Linked DNA regions of Solanum lycopersicum. The protein of the gene in region 1 interacts with the protein of each later gene in a pairwise test. Links are inferred from orthologs where the notes say so. Each region holds a gene or a part of one and is shown on either strand. Other genes may lie near its edges. The genes, in order: EMF2 and MSI1.

What was found.
Region 2: the proteins of EMF2 (region 1) and MSI1 interact in binary tests that used the Arabidopsis thaliana proteins (3 or more experiments, as listed by UniProt). The link is inferred for Solanum lycopersicum from reciprocal best matches to the Arabidopsis thaliana genes EMF2 and MSI1.

Annotation. Positions count from the first base shown.
Region 1 is NC_090802.1:51,955,878-51,964,409, forward strand, and holds the start of EMF2 (polycomb group protein EMBRYONIC FLOWER 2), read right to left. Parts: upstream 4,682-8,532; 5' UTR 4,550-4,681; exon of another isoform or gene 4,546-4,549; intron 2,399-4,545; 5' UTR 2,351-2,398; coding exon 2,316-2,350; exon of another isoform or gene 2,286-2,315; intron 2,190-2,285; coding exon 2,021-2,189; intron 1,593-2,020; coding exon 1,537-1,592; intron 1-1,536. UniProt on the Arabidopsis thaliana protein: Polycomb group (PcG) protein. Involved in flowering processes by repressing unknown target genes and preventing reproductive development.
Region 2 is NC_090800.1:88,995,788-89,004,319, reverse strand, and holds the start of MSI1 (WD-40 repeat-containing protein MSI1), read left to right. Parts: upstream 1-3,687; 5' UTR 3,688-3,829; coding exon 3,830-4,174; intron 4,175-5,376; coding exon 5,377-5,703; intron 5,704-6,142; coding exon 6,143-6,295; intron 6,296-6,818; coding exon 6,819-6,943; intron 6,944-7,078; coding exon 7,079-7,174; intron 7,175-8,102; coding exon 8,103-8,331; 3' UTR 8,332-8,532. Other genes in the region: kinetochore protein NDC80 homolog, read right to left, coding at 1-299. UniProt on the Arabidopsis thaliana protein: Core histone-binding subunit that may target chromatin assembly factors, chromatin remodeling factors and histone deacetylases to their histone substrates in a manner that is regulated by nucleosomal DNA.

The DNA.
Region 1 (8,532 bases):
TCTTGAATTTCACCTTTCAGAAGTAGGAATTTTTGGGATAAGGTATTTTATTCAAAATGACATTTTTTAAACTGGGAATTCCGAAGGTCTAACGGCACAAGGTTCAAAACTTAATGGATAATAGGTCTAGGCCCTCTACCCTTCTCCACTTAAATATCAAGCTTCGCAGCGAGGTAATTGAATATCACATTTGAGGAGCTGAATATTTTTGTTAAGTAAAAGGTACTTTATATTGGATGCGAAAATTAGTTATTTTACTTGAAATTTGCTTGTTAGTGTACAAATTTCATATAAGTTTTGCTATTTTTTAATAATATGTAAATTGTGCATTCACTTAAAAAGTTGTGGGCTTCTCTTTGCTTTTTTGTTTCAAACTTGTGCACCTATATGATTTTAATTTTTTTGACATTTGATGAATTATGGGGTGGTATAAGAGTAACACGTACGATATTGATCACCAACTACATAGTGAACGATATTACGTTTCATCAGCTATTTTTTTTATGACAAGGGAAATCCGCAGCCGCTACATCCAAATGTGCACAGGGTAAAAACCCCTCTTCTATGCAATAGCTCGCAAACCACATAGGAGATGTAGTTTCATCAGCTATTTCAAACAGTAGTTTGCATGCAATTTAGAAAACTTGCCAGCAATAACTAGATCTGTCTTTTAAGAAGTTACTTTGCAGCCATAAGGCGAAGCCAGTGTAGTCAAAAGGCGTGCTTTAAGTGTGATTAGGCCATGAAGCGAGGCTCAAAACGTGTTGAGCACTTCGCCTCGCTTTATATGTGTTTCAGTGTCATCCTCGAGGTTCTAAGGCAAACTTTTCCTTGCCTATGAGCCTATTCTGGAGAAATGATACTAAACAATTGATATTTCACTTATCATAATTTTTTTCCAATTTCTTTGGTCATATATTTGTCATTCATCATTCATGTTTATAATTCTTTGACTACACATATATATTTTAATTTTTTCTCCCTTTGCGCCTTTATCATTAAAGCTCATGCTTTGTGTGTGTTTGCTCTTAAAGCCTCAACGGGCCTTAGAGCTTTTTTGCACTTTTCGCCTTCGATAACACTGGTGAAACCACCATATCATACAAGCTACTATACAAGTCTTAAATGTGTAAGCACTTACTAACAAATTTTATAAGGAAAAATGTTTAGACTTTAGTAGTACTACAAAGTTTAATCATTGAATCAAACTGTGAAGACATCTTGTCACTAGGAACTTGTTTGATTTAGATCACTGGATTCTCGACAATTCATTAAATTTAATACAATAAATATTGACTGAACAGCCATTGTCACAAAAAAAAGGACTACATAATTAAGACAATTCAAACAAACATTCCCAATGGAATAAAGTAATGAAAGTCATGTCTCCACAAAAATTTAGATTTCACTCCAAAGCAACATGGACAATATCACATGACAACTAAAAGTACCTCAGAGCATCTAGTATAGAGTACATGAGACGTAACCTTGCATGAAGGAAAAATTGGGAGTGAAAGCAATCACAATCATATATACCTTCTTTTGTGCTTTGCTTGAATTTTGTACTGTAAGCATCTTTGAAGGAATGAAGGCTGCAAGATATTTTACAGTCTTTAGAAACATCTTACACAAAATGCCGATTATGAATGTATAATTAGCATGTCATAAACGTGATGAGAACAAACAAATTAAATCTCATAACAATTGGAAACAAGCAAAAAAAAGAAGCCCGGATCTAAAACATCAGTTCAAAAGCATGGCTGAGAGAAAGATAATAATCTTTCATATACTTTTCCATAAAACACTTGGAACTGACATAAGATGTGTTTACTTAGAACATCATGGCTGAGAAGAATGATAATATTGTTATTTTGTTACCATAAAGACTTTAAGTGACATTCAAAACCAATAAAAGCAACAATATTTGTAAGAACATTAACATCAACTTGGAAATTGACACCAAAATCATTAGCATTGATGATAAATAGGCAAAATTTATCTCCTCATGTAAGTACATTACATTTCTAACAGCACGGCGTTGGAGAATATTGTAGAGTTCAACAGGTTTGCAATAACTTGAAAGGCTTTCTTCAGCAGCAATCTCCTCCTCTGCAGACAAATGTGTAGCAGAATCTTGCCTGCACATTGAATCCGTGGCTGTAGAGTAACTGCAGTAGCAAGTGTAATTCCTGTTCCAAAAATTATAATATAACAATCATCATCCATGCTTCTTAGGTGCATTTGAGTACCTTAAAATGTAATTATTGACAATACAAATATAACACCTCAAATGCAGGGCACAGGAAATATCTTACGTGGTTTCACGAGCCACTAAAGGTATGCCTGGCATCCTTGTCACAAAGTATTCAAATGTATATTCATAGTTCTTTCAACTTCACTAAATTCAGAAATTAAAATTGTGTGAGAAAAGAATCATTAAGTACTTGATATAATAGGCAACAAGGGACAGAAATATAATTGATAAATTCTGATTCAGCTTTCTCCTTCAGATAATACATGAGTTTTCCTACTCCTCTCTTTTCTTTAGTTGCGGAGGAGGGAGATATTCAGAAAAATCATTCTCATCTCACTTGAAAAAACATAGCCATGAAGTCTCACTATATCAACGTATGAATATAAATAGCCTTGCTAAAAAATGCAGCCAAACAACCATTTTAAGAAGAAGATATAATAAAGAGATTGAGATTACATGTTACAACCCATGTTACAACCCTTTTTGATAAGCAAATAACCAATAGAAAGCTACTGGAACTACCAGGTGCAAAATGTGAATGGAGCTTAACATGGCAACTCGTGTGCAGCTTCTTCATCAAGCGAAAGGGATACACATGCGGCTATAGCATGATAAAATCTTTGTTCTTCGATTTTATAAAGGAAAAGGAACCAGTGGCTATAGCATGATAAAATCTGTGTTCTTTGATTTTATAAAGCAAGGGGAACCACAGCAATATATGTTGCAACTCATGTATAAATGGCTTGGTAAAAATACAACAGTCGTCGAAAAGCTAGAGTTCAACTGAAGGAAGAATAGGTTGCCCATAATATACATTCAACGGTATTAATTACTCAAAAAGAACAGGAACATTGTCTCCCTAACAATCAAGATTGATTCACAAAAGAGAGAGATCCATAACATTTTTGTCTCTAGTGTAAAATATGAATAATTGAGTCTCTCATGCAGTGACTTGACCAAGAAAAGGTGATTCTCTCATATAGTGATCTGAGAATTACCAAGAAGAGAAAAAAATCATGGAGATCACAAAGATCTTCACGTGATAGTATCTGAAAACCAGTCAAATTTTTTCTTAGTTCTTACCTTCCCAATATCAGCATCCCCCGGCACCACTCCAAATATTCCTCCTACACTAATGCAAATATGTGCTTCTCCCTATCCCTTTCTTAATAGTTAATCCCCATTAACCCTTCACGAAAGAAAGAGTCTGGCAACAACATGAACCTTCACCTTACCAGACCAGTTTCTCAACAGTGAGCAATTCCATTTACTTGAAGCCGAGAAAACTATCTCCACACAAACATAACCCACTGGGATTATTGATCCATCCAAACTCGATCTATAGCTCATCTACTATATTCATTCCAGGACAAATAATTGCTGAATTTGGTCTTTAAAAACTTTAAGCAAATTGAACTACAACTTCCTTTAGTTCAGCCTTCAAAACACGCATAAAGGAAGAATATTTTGGCCTCTGTAAATCTGATCCTACTAGAGGGTAATCTGGAATACCTTTGGTAGGTCTGAGAACCCCTCTATGATCTAATAGAACTCCCTGTTTCTCAATAAGTTCCTAAGTATAAAGAAAAGTTTCTGAATTCACATAATAAAGATGTAGTTTTCAAATCTCACTAAGATGAATGACATAGAGATACTCTAGTCCATTATTTATCAACAAAAGACTATTTCTCCCAAATTTGCAAAGCAAAAGGGCTATACAATCAGAAAACTATAATCAATTTGCAGCCGAAACAGCCAGTCCTGTGTTTTTCAGGTTGGAATAAAGAACATCAATTATCAAAAAAAAAAAAATTGTTTTCGCACATAACCTAGCTCTGTCTTTATTATTTTCTTTGTTATACTTGTGGTTCCTGCACCAGCTTACACACACCTTGGGTACATGGTACCTCTTACAAGCACACTTACCCACTAACTCAGCTCACCAAAGCTTAGCAGATGCAAAGAACTCACCTAATGCCGCCTTTGCTCGATTGCAACTGAACACAAGGGTCATTCTAGCAGTTCATTTCTTGTTTGTGTTTCTTTCTTTCTTTCCTTTTATCCATCACGTTATTAGGTAACTCCAAACAACCATAAAATCCAATACTTAAGACTTCACAGGTAAGCTCAAAAAAAAAAAAAAAAAACAGCTAACACTGGAATTCCCAAATCGCTGATAATTCAAAGGCAAAACATGGATATATGCAAAGTTAAATCGTCGCAATGCTCACAATAATTAGAAAAATGGATTAGGGATTTTGCCCCACGTTATAGACAGGAAAGAACGTAACCTACAACTGGATTTCGCCGAAGATGATGGAGGAAGGTGCTCTCTCTGTCGATTCGCCGGAAGAAGAAGAAGACCGGTGCCGTTTGAGATTGGCGGGCCTGAATCAGTCGGATTTTAGGATCCGTTCTTGGTTTCGGTTCGAACTTTGACCGCTCAACCAGAGGCGTTTTGGGGCAGGGTCAAGTTTTAACTGGGAACAGGAACAATCTGAACGGAGCCACTTTTAAGGGGTTGTTTGGTGTGAAGACCAAATAGTCTTTGGAATTAATTAAAGTGCACTTATTTCGTTGTTTTGGTTGATCAGTTCAACATAATTTATCTCGAATTTAATAATTTATTTATCTGTCCTTAATTATCTATTTATTTTTGAATTAATGGTATACTTAGGAAGAAAATAATTATTAACCTAGTGAATTTATCATTTTACCCTTATTAATTATAAAGTGAATTAATGAATATTTTAAGGTTTTTAAAAAGTTCTATTTTTTAAAATAATTATGAGGGCATGATTAATTTAAAAATTATCATTTCTTGATTTGTCAAAATAAACAAGTAACTAAAAATAGATTAAAAAAAATAGACAAGTAATTAGAGACAAATAAAATAAAATTAAGATAAATTATTATTATTATGGTGGAACAATAATGCTGAAGTAACTATTTTGGTATTTATTACCATTTTAGGGTGGGGTAGCTATGTTTTTAGAACTTATTACCATTAGTTGTTTGCATCTTACTTGTTATTTTTGTTTTTGAAAAAATAAATATTAAAATAATTTATTTCGAGATAAAATAATTAAAATGACAAAAATGCCTTTTAAAATTTTTCATACCTCAAAATAGCAAAAGAATATTGATACTTCCAAAGTGCATTCATTACATGTATAAAACACTCACAACAAGGGTCAAAATGGGTACTTAAGTTCACACAAAGTAGTAAAATTTGGCCTATTAATTCAATTGAAATTGGATAATTATGACTTGTTTGGAAAAATTGTTAAAAGAGAGTTGTATCTGTTAAGTTTATTAATGAGGGGTAAACCTATTTTTTATTATAACAAATATTTGTAAATAATGTAAATATTATTTGAAAATGAATAATTGGGATAGAATTAAAATTTTTGATCGATTCGAATATGTTGAATCGTATGGATGAATTAGACAATCTCATTTGATCCGAATTTTAGCAATAATTTCTATGATCCTTTTCATGACGGTATATCAATAAAATGAGAAAAGTAGAGGAGTCCGTCTAAATGTCTCACAAAGTGATACAACATACCAACAAGATGCAACTTAATAAACAAATGTCTTAAGCAAATTATAATTATAATAAAAATTTAATTGAAAGGGGTAACTCACCTCGGACTACGATATTCAGGTTGGCATATTCTCACTATAGTGCTTGGAAGAGGTTTGGGTGTCTAGATCTCATATCCTTCTCAATTTTTCTTGCCATTTCTTCGATGTTCTTATTTCTCCAAAGACCTTTACCGAAGCTATGTATTTGGTCCTCATTATGATTTCTAGTGATCATGTTCGTCAATAACTAATCAAAATAAGTTTAACTTGCTCCATTGTCAGGTGTACTAAATCAAGTCCAACCAATCATGAATTACCCGCCTATAACCAACTAATAGGGGATGTGCATTTTCGTCCCTACAAAACTTCATAAGGCGTCATGACTCATCCTAATATTAAAATGATAGTTATTATTATATGCAACTCAATAAGAGGTAAGTGATCATTCTCAATTTTTCTTGAATTTTATATCACATACTCATAAGATATTCTGAAATGTTTTAACTATTGTGTGCTCGATCTGACCATCTGAGTCCTTCTGGAATGACTACTAAAAAGTAGATATAAATTGTGCTCCTCAATCATAAATGATTAATACTAGGACAACGTGGAGACTGACTATATATATCAAAAATACAACTATACACAATCATCGTTCATATAAGTATAGTGACAAGAAATGGGTTATTTTGTTAGTTTGTCAACAATCACTTAAATAGAATCAAAAGTATTTCGCAAATAGGTTAATTGTGTAACATAATTCATAATTGAATACTTCCCACATCAGGAATAGTCATATCATGTATTATCCCATCACACTTATGTCTAACTTTTACATACTGACAATTGGTACACTCAGTCACAAATTCAATTTGGATCCTCTTAAAATCATGATATGTCTTCATTGATCATGATTGAATAAAATAATGAAAATGATATGCTTCCACCATAATTATTAACTATTTGAGTCCTGTAACATCTGAAATATGAAGTCAATTATAATATCTCTTTTTGGCTCATAAGTATGAGAAGTTGTCCATCGATCTGCGATTTAGGGCATCAATTATCACATTTGCCTAATTCGAATAATACAAAATATCTATATCTTAATCTTTTAATGATAGGTCTTTAATTTATTAGAACATTCATTTTCTTTATGCTCATATTTTTCACATTTAAAACACTTTATTTTAGATGGAGTTTCAAGTTTATCTCTTTTACCTAAATCCTTGTAATCTAACTTTAATTTGCCTATGTAAGTCTTGCTTTACACCTTTAGGTTTGTCCCAAGTTTCTAAACATGGAAAAACTACATAACATAGTAAAATACAATTATTACATATTAAAGGCATATAGCTATATTATACTTTATATTTTAATGAAGAATATGTTTAATTATTAAATAGTAAATACAATTATACACATATAATTAAGTTTTTCCAACCTCCTTTTAGTGTTCCACTTCCCTAGTTTCCACCTTCAAAGTTTCTCTTTCAGTGTATCCCAAAATCACCATTTCTATCCCCCAATATTTCTTACAATCAACGGTCCTTTGCATGATTTCATGAGCTATTTTATGATTCAGATTCTTCGAATCTCTTCTAGTTTTGATTTTTTTTTCTTTTTCATCGAAGGTTATAGTTGTATATACGTTTCATCTATTTTTATGGGGTTTTGGTTGAAGGTTTTTGTTTCACCATTATACATTAGAATACTTATACACTTGGATACTTCTATTGCATTTTGTTCACATGTATTGAATTATTAATATAAGTTTAAAATATGGATATATTGAGCCTGTTTTATCCAATGTATGTTAGTGAATTGTTGTATTCTTATGTATACATATCATTTGTATACCTATACTATTCGCGTGTGTATTCGTTAGTTGTATTAACATGTTAAATAAATGTACACACAATGCACTTAATGTACACAAGAAATCAGATTTTAAAGTTTTAAATCAGATTTTGAGTATGTTCTATCCCAATTATATTATTGAACCGATAGGAATCTACATGCTCTGAATAGATCATTATTTCTTGTTGATTTGATAATGTGAAGTTGAGAGTTTAAAGAGTGTAATTAAAGGGCAGACAATTATAATAGCAAAAAAACTCCTTATTTAGTGCATATATTTAAAAGTGTATCATATATTGTAATTAAAAAAACCCTATAAATACTTTGAATACAACAAGATTTAGGTCTAATTTGTTTGTATTTAATGGAGGTCTGAATCTTAATCAATTAGATTAACTCATTAAATGTATTTGATTTTTAGGTCTGAATCAGAATGATTCAGATTCAGCCAATTAAGTCCGTTTGTTGCTTTTTTCAAAAAAGCCTCTTAATGGACCTAAAAAGGTCTGAACGGATCAGATCTGCATGAGAGTCTTTAACAACATTCATCATTATTTAATAAGTTATAAAGTAATAATATATATTACCTCTCATTCTTTGTGTGATTTTTGTTTTCACACCCACAAACTTTCTTCCTTTGTTTTATCAATCAAATAAAAAAAATTTCTCTTCAATAAGTTTTCATAATTTTTACAAGTTTTTTTTTATATTAATAATTTTCTTAGGGTGTATTAATGTTTGTCAAGAAAACTGTTGTAATAATATTATTAGCATATTGATGTTCATCAAGGTTTTTGAGTGAAAAAATACTATTCATGGATTATTTA
Region 2 (8,532 bases), on another chromosome or scaffold:
GTCAGGACCTCCCTTTTCATCCTCTCTGCATCCCTGGCATTATTCGCTTGATCCTCCACCCTATTCTTCAACTCCTCGTTCTCAACACAAATCATCTCCTTCTCTGCAACCATAGTCTCCAAGCCTTTCTCCATCGCCATCATATGCCCTTCTAACTGTTCAATCATGGCATGGAATTTCTTTACATCTTCCTCCAATGCACTCTTCTCATTCTCCAACACGTTTTCCTTTGATGGACCTGTCTCCATTGCCTCCAACTTCTCCTCTTGAGCCTTCACATCCCTCCAAAACATTCTCATTCTCAATTAACCGCTCCCTTTCTTGTTCCAACTCCTGCTTAAATTGATGATCCAATTCGTCCACTTGATCATCTTTTTCCCCTGAGGTAATGCAAATAACTCTCAATAGCGTTGCTCAACTCCTTATTCTCCGAAGCAGGTGGTTGAGCAGAACTCAGGCCGTGATTATCAAATTTACACAACTGAACAAAGACGGTGAATTGCTGTGTATAGACTAGCTCAATAATGAGGTGTCCCAGGGGCGCGTAATGCAGAGTTGTCCAATATCACTGGGAAATTTAAGGATTTCATTAGGCTTTGGAGATTGTCTTCTAGTTTTTTGCGAATCTAATGAGGAAAATCCAAAACGAGAGAGGATAAATTTAAGGGTTTAGATGAAGGGCGACTACCGGCAAAGCTTGTATCGGAATCACGGACGCCGGTGGAGAGATATTGCCGAAGTTGGAGGAGGATGTAGACGATCCGACACTGCTGGGTTCACACGGCGGCATCCGGCGCATCTTATTGACGGAAATTGTGGAAGATGCTGCTGTTGATCTGGATAGTGAAAGGTTTTTGAGTTCCCGCTTTGCAATTGAAAAATAGGGTTCCTTCATTGGGCGAATTTTGAACAGCGCGCCAAAATCAACTAGAATTATGATATATGCGGGTTTGTTTTTTTTTTAAAATCATACAAATGGTATTAAATAAAGAGAAAATTGTCAAAAATGCCCCTCAACTTTGTTTTATTAGTTGATTATGTTCTCATCGTTAAAGTGAAGTTATTTTTACCGTTACCGTTACTATTTTCATCATTTTTATCCCTTAATTGGATGAAAAAACTAAATAAACTAAAATTACAATTGAATGACCCGATTTTCTCTTTTAATCGAACTTGATTCATTATATCAAATTAAAATCCTAAACACATTTTTTTAATTTCTCCATCTCTTTTCTGTTGAAACACATGTTACTAAAATATGTGATCAGATTTGCTACCAATCCCTACGTTCCAACTTTAATTTTTGGATCTCATTTCTATCAATTTGTGGCTGTTGTTTTCCAGCCTTGATGCTCGCTTAATTATGTTGTTGGTTTAATTTATTAACGGTGCTTTCAGTTGTTTTCCGGTGGGGGTTCTGTTTGTTGGTTGTTTGGAGGTTGGAGAACGATAGTCTGGTGATCATTTGCTGGTTATTTTAGCTTGGGTGATGGAGGTCTGAGTTTTGGTGGGCTGAAATGTGGTTTTACTATCAGATTTTGGCATGGAAAGGATGGTGTTTGAGAGTTGTTTTAGAACGGTTTCGCAACTGTTTGAATGATTCCGATGGTGGGTGATTTGTTTAATGTTGTTTCAGCTTAGAACTGTCAGAAAATTGAGACGAAAGGTCTTGTATTGGCACCAGAAAGTAGAGAAAAATGGGTTTGTTGTTAATGTTTTCTGTTTGGTGTTGATCCTGGGTTTGGTGGCTTTTGAGTGGTGGTTTCAATTGGTCGTTTGGAGGTTGTTTCGGTGGTGTTTCGTCGGAAAAAAGGAGAAAATGAATGGGATTTTTGGGTCGTTGGAGCTTGATTTGGGTTTTAAATTTGGTAAATGGGTCGGGCTCTTATTAAAATGAGAAAATCAGGTCATACAATTGAAATTGGGTAATTTTAGTTGATTTGGATTTTCCATCCAGTTAAGGGGTAAAACTGGTGAAAATAGTAACAGTAGGGGATAAAAATAACTCTACTTTAACGATAAGGGTATAATCAACCAATAACACAAAGTTGAGGGTATTTTGGCCCTTTTTCCTTAAATTAATATTTAATAACTGGAATAGTAGATTTTATGACTATCTCGTAGAGTTAGAAAAATTGCTTTTGAAAGATTATCAACTCAAGTGTAGTAATTTATTTTTTTTGAATAAAAGAAGATGAAAAAAATCATGAAGATTATTTAGCAACTAATAAGGGAATCAATGTAAAACCTACAAGAGAAGGAATAAGAAGTTAAGAATCGTATGATAATCGAAACGTAATAAACAACAAACAATGATAGATATCAAAAGCAAAAACTATATTATTACAAATAATACGACAACAAACATCAACATCCATTGTTTGTTAACCTTTTACCCCATTGAGTGTCCTCCACGCCCTCATGTTTAAGATAGTATTCTTGGTAATTAGAAGTTATTTTGTGTCGTGACTGATTAGCTCTCTGAATACTTCTTCTGCCTATTCTACTGCTTCTCGAATCTACTATAACTAACCTCTCATATCTCCTCAGTGCAGCATATGCACATCTCTTATTCATACGTTTAGATCATCTCAGAGTTACTTTCTTCCTATCACAAGAGGTTACTCTGTCCTTATCTTGGATATTCTTATTCATAATTTTATTGCTCTTGGTATATAGGTCCACTCTGAACATACAATTAAGGTATAATATATTTTCATTTTCATTTTTAGTAGATTACCAAATAAATTTTATGATATATTTATCTTACAATAACATATTTAACGTATTTTTACAGAATATTAAAAGGTAAATATGTATACAAATTCTACTCATATTAAATAAAATAAAGTTTTGTTTTTATACTCTCCACTCAATTATCAAACCTTACTAATCATAATAAAAAGGGAAACATTCAAAATAAAGGAATCAAGAAAAAATATTAAAGCAAACAAGAAAATTCATACTAAAAACACAAGCATCTATGACAAAGTAATATGATAATCCAAGTGCAATATATAACAAAAAAAAATAGAATTACAAGAAATTTCTCGATAATATTGTGACTCGTTTGGTTTGAATTCATATTTGATGGAATTAATTATGATGAAATAAGTTATGCTAAGAATATTTTTTATTGACTATTTGGTTTGTTGTATTCAAAATAATAAATCTTCTAAACAACATATATGTGTACGAGAACACCCTTCATGAATGTGAGAAGTAATATATAAAAAGTGTTTAAAGGGATATTTTTGTCAATTAGTCATTTTGTCCATGGATAAGTTATTTCAGAATTATTATACCATTCAAGAAAAGAAATAACTTATATCGGTACTAATTATTAATTGTAGGATCCTTTAATACTAGAAATTTTTTAAAATTAAATAAGGACATATTAGGAAAAAAAATTATTGTCCTTTCTTGATTTGTTAAAATAGACAAGTAAATAGGAATAGATATAAAAGAATATGTGGTCACATGAATAAGTAAATAGTGATAGAGGGAGTAGTTAACAAAGTAAAAATAGTTTATATTTAATGGGGCTAGAGGATAAATTTGGCGGCTATTTATGTAAAGATACCTGCACATCCAACCGATTCGTAATTCGGGTCACACAGCCCAATGTCGTCGCAATATAAAACCCTTTTAGCTTTGCACATATCCCGCAAAAAAAAAGAAAAAAAGAAAAAGAAAATTCACTGAAAAATACCGTTCCCTCCAATTCTCTACAAACCCTCGTAAAAATCCCCAAACTCCACAAAACCCAAACCCTCACGCACTCAAAACAGAAGAAGAAAAATCTTAAGGCAATTCTTGAAATTGTTTAATGGGGAAAGACGAAGATGAGATGCGGGGTGAAATTGAGGAGAGGCTGATAAACGAGGAGTACAAGATTTGGAAGAAGAATACTCCTTTTCTTTACGATCTGGTTATTACTCACGCGCTTGAATGGCCTTCGCTCACCGTCGAATGGTTACCGGACCGGGAAGAGCCGTCGGGAAAGGATTATTCCGTTCAGAAGATGATTTTGGGGACTCATACATCGGAAAATGAGCCTAACTATCTCATGCTTGCTCAGGTTCAGCTGCCTCTTGAGGATGCTGAGAATGATGCCCGCCACTATGATGATGATCGGTCTGAATTTGGCGGATTTGGTTGTGCCAATGGCAAGGTTTGAATCTATTCTGTTTTATGCCTTGTTTGGCTGTTTTATATGGGTTTTCATTTTCTGGATGTTTTATTTTACTACATTTTTCTGGCTAATTTCAGTGTTAACGTCTGAGATTTACTTGTTTTGTACTAGAGTTTAGTTGTTCTAGGGCAGCCTGTTTAAGAATCTCTTGAATTTTGATAGCTTTGGGATTATGTTATATAGTAAATGGTTTAAAGTTTATTAACAACACTATAACAAGTAACCAGTGTAGTCCCAGAGGGTAGTGTGTACACAGACTTACTCCTACCTTGTGGAGTTCGAGAGGTTGTTTACAATAGACCGTTGGCTCAAAGTTTTCTCCTTTGCAGCGTAGGTACTAGGGAGTTGTGAATTGGAAGTTGTCAGTTCATTCATGGATTTTGCTCAAGGTACAGTTAATATTTCATCAAAAATTCACCAAAGGGGAAAAAAGGGGGCCTAGCATAATTAGTGCACCATTTTCTGACCCACCACCACACCAAATAAGGGCACCTAATAGGTCAATCCCTTTGGGCAGAGTGAACTCTTTGACTGACATTTTCTTATTGAAATTTTATGCGTTGTTGTAGTTTTTATTATTCCTCTGCTTCTTTCTCTGTCCTGATATTGTTGAAAGGTTCTCTTCATAAAGGGCACTTGAGGCTTTTATATCATATATGAATAATGATGCTTGGACCCCAAATCAGTAGTGATTTGCTGGTAGCTTAGGTGAAATGGGTTGTAACAAAGCCAATGCTTCCTGATTCGGCTAGCGTTCTAAAACTAATGGTTTAGTTGCTCCACTCATTTGAATGTGAAGATGATTGGAAGCAACATTGCTGCAGGAGAAAACTGATGAAGTTTTGAATAGTCAGCTAGAACTTTAAAAAGCTTATGAGAATACCACTTATGACTATCACCTTTTAGTGTAGATTGATGTCACAGATATCAAAGGTACTATCCACATAGAGTCAGTGATAAATTGATAATGAATTCTTCTATTTATGATGAGGGCATGGAACTGTAAAATCTTATTCTCTAAAAAGGTTTTAAAAATGGTCTGTCAGTTCCAATTATCACTTGAAGGCCTTACTCTGATATCTTTTTGCTGTACTATTATTTCCCATAATATCAGAGTGAATTTCTTGTCTCTGTTTCAACATTGAGTGGCTTATGTATAATGATAAATATTTCTCTTTCAGGTACAAATAATCCAGCAAATAAATCACGATGGAGAGGTTAATCGGGCTCGATATATGCCCCAAAACCCATTTATCATTGCAACTAAGACAGTTAGTGCTGAAGTATATGTTTTTGACTACAGTAAACATCCATCTAAGCCTCCTCTAGATGGTGCATGCAATCCAGATTTGAGGTTAAGAGGCCACAGTACAGAGGGGTATGGTTTGTCTTGGAGTCAATTTAAGCAGGGTCATCTATTGAGTGGTTCAGATGACTCACATATATGTTTATGGGACATTAATGCCACTCCCAAAAATAAGGCTCTAGAGGCTATGCAGATATTTAAGGTTTGCCTCGTGTTTTTTTTTCTGACGAGTCTGCAGAGGATAGATATTGCCATGTTACACTGCATAGATTATCAATTTGTTGCACCCACTTACTACTTGTAGTTTTATCTTGTGCAAATAACCATAATTGATAATTGGAGAAGAACTTGTATGCTTTCCCTTCCAGCAAACACCCCCAGGCACCTCGAAGTAAAAAAAGATCAAGCGAAGCAGAATAGCATGAGTTCTCTTTATTAATATCATGTTACAAAGTTAAACTGTAACTTCAATAGTGTCCCAACTTTTGTCTCAAAGGATATTTTTGGTATCATCTTCTCTACTATTTGCTGTCTGAAGCTTCAGTCTACCTAGCATGGACAAGAATCTTGTCTCTCGTATTATTTTCTCATTAAGCTTTTGTCAGCTGTTGTTGGTTTATTCTAATATTTAAAATGTGTAGGTTCATGAAGGTGTTGTTGAGGATGTAGCTTGGCATCTGAGGCATGAGTATTTATTTGGCTCTGTTGGGGATGATCAGTATTTGCACGTATGGGATCTGCGAACTCCATCAGTGACCAAGCCTATACAATCTGTAGTTGCACATCAAAGTGAGGTGCGGCTTAGACTTCTTAGCTGGACTTTTCCACGTTTATGTAGTTAATAATGCTTCCCTTTTGACTGGTGTAAGAACCACTCAGATATGTCTTCTTAACATTGTTGGCAGTCTTTTGATTTTCTTGCACAGAAATGTGAGGATCTTGTGCTTACAAAATAATTATAGTTTTTCTTGAAACTAGAATTAGTGTTTCCCAATTTTTACCTGTACTTTTTTTTCTTTTCATTTTCGTGGGTTTACATTATTGGATGTGCAAACAAGTGATTGCTGTGTGTGTAAACTATAATGTGATGCTCATGTCTGGATGAATTTCTGTTTCGTTTTAAATGGTTTAAGGAGAAGATCCTGCCTTCCATACTCTCTGCTGATTATTAAATGTACAATATCATAGAAGGATGATCATTACTGCACATGGCCTATTATGAAAAACATTTCTGAATGCAGTTATCTAGATTTTTTGTGAACAAGCAGTCTTGTGTTGATGATTGTACATGATTGACCTCCTTTCTCTTTTGATCAGGTTAACTGCTTAGCTTTCAACCCCTTTAATGAATGGGTTGTAGCAACGGGGTCTACAGACAAGACAGTTAAATTATTTGATCTACGCAAGATTTCTACTGCACTTCATACTTTGGATTGTCACAAGTAAGATGTCTTCCTTACATATACTTTTGAGGAAAATGTTGGCTCCGTCATCATTCGTGTTAAATAGTATAATAGAAGCTTGTTCATCTGTATTTACAGTTGCTTATCATTAATTTCCTTGCAACTTTTCTGCAGGGAGGAAGTTTTCCAGGTTGGGTGGAATCCAAAGAATGAAACCATTTTAGCTTCTTGTTGCCTTGGTAGGAGACTCATGGTTTGGGATCTCAGCAGGTTACTCTTCCAACTATCCTTACTAGTATTTTCATAATATCAGAGTGAATGTTCTGTCGGTCCAGTGGGTGCTTTTATTCTATCTTGCTCTTTGATGTTTTGAATTTTAATTATTCCATCTATAAGTTAACACCTGCCTTATCTTGCCAGCTATAGTTCACCTAGAGTTGTGATCTATCATCTCTATTCCTTCCCTCTTCTCCCACATGGCGTCAATCCCTGTACTCCTTAGAAAACTATCCCATTTCATTGTTTGCTACTGCCCATTTATTTGGAAAAACACCTTTTAGTCCTAGATTAGTATTTTGGCACTTCCTTTATAGGTTGCAACTTTGTCATCTCACTCAACATGTGATTTGGAACTCTGAAATAGGCTCATTCTGTTGTGTGCTCGAGTCAATATTGTACTGAATTGTCCTAGCATGTGAAAATGACTACGTCATATGCTCTACTGAGTTTTGGCATGTGTAGAATTGAAGTTCCATGTTGATTTGTGCACATGATAATCCAGATGTACAATTATATTATCATGTGGTCCGAATCTGAGTTTCTGATCCAAGTCTCAGTATCTGGGATTGCACTTATTCACTGAATTGTTTTGGTGGTATCAATCCATTGTTTCTCCTTTGTGACAACTTGTGTATTGAAGTTGGACTTTGACATTAGAGATATCATTGCGTTAAGGATTTGAAATCATGTACTTTAAAAGGAACTTCAGTTTTAACCAGTGATATTTTCTTGTGTCAAAAAAGGCCATTTCTGCTCAGTGATACATTTAACATCTACGCTTGAATGCCACATCTGGCGTTACATGGGATTTATTTTAGATGATTCACAGAAATCACTAGAGGTTTTATATATAATGTTCCCTTTAAGATCTGCAGGCTGCAGTAAACCTGAGATTTCACTTTTTTAAAATTTGATTTAGGATCGACGAGGAACAAACTCCAGAAGATGCGGAAGATGGACCACCAGAGTTGCTCTTTATTCATGGTGGCCACACAAGTAAAATTTCAGACTTCTCATGGAACCCATGTGAAGATTGGGTCGTTGCTAGTGTTGCCGAGGATAATATACTACAAATCTGGCAGATGGCTGAAAACATCTACCATGATGAAGATGACCTGCCTGGAGATGATGCCCCCAAAGGCCCTTAGGATACTAATATAGCCCTTAGGAGGGTATTGTAACATCAACTAGGAGAGGCTAAAAAGATGCTTGTTCTATTTGCCCCTCTACTCCCCCACATTGTTGCGTTATTTTTTCTTTTCGATTTTTCCTTTTGAACTGAGCTTCTCTACTACTGTGATGATATCTATGACTGTTACTTTAACAACTTTGTTTTTCTCTTTTAACAT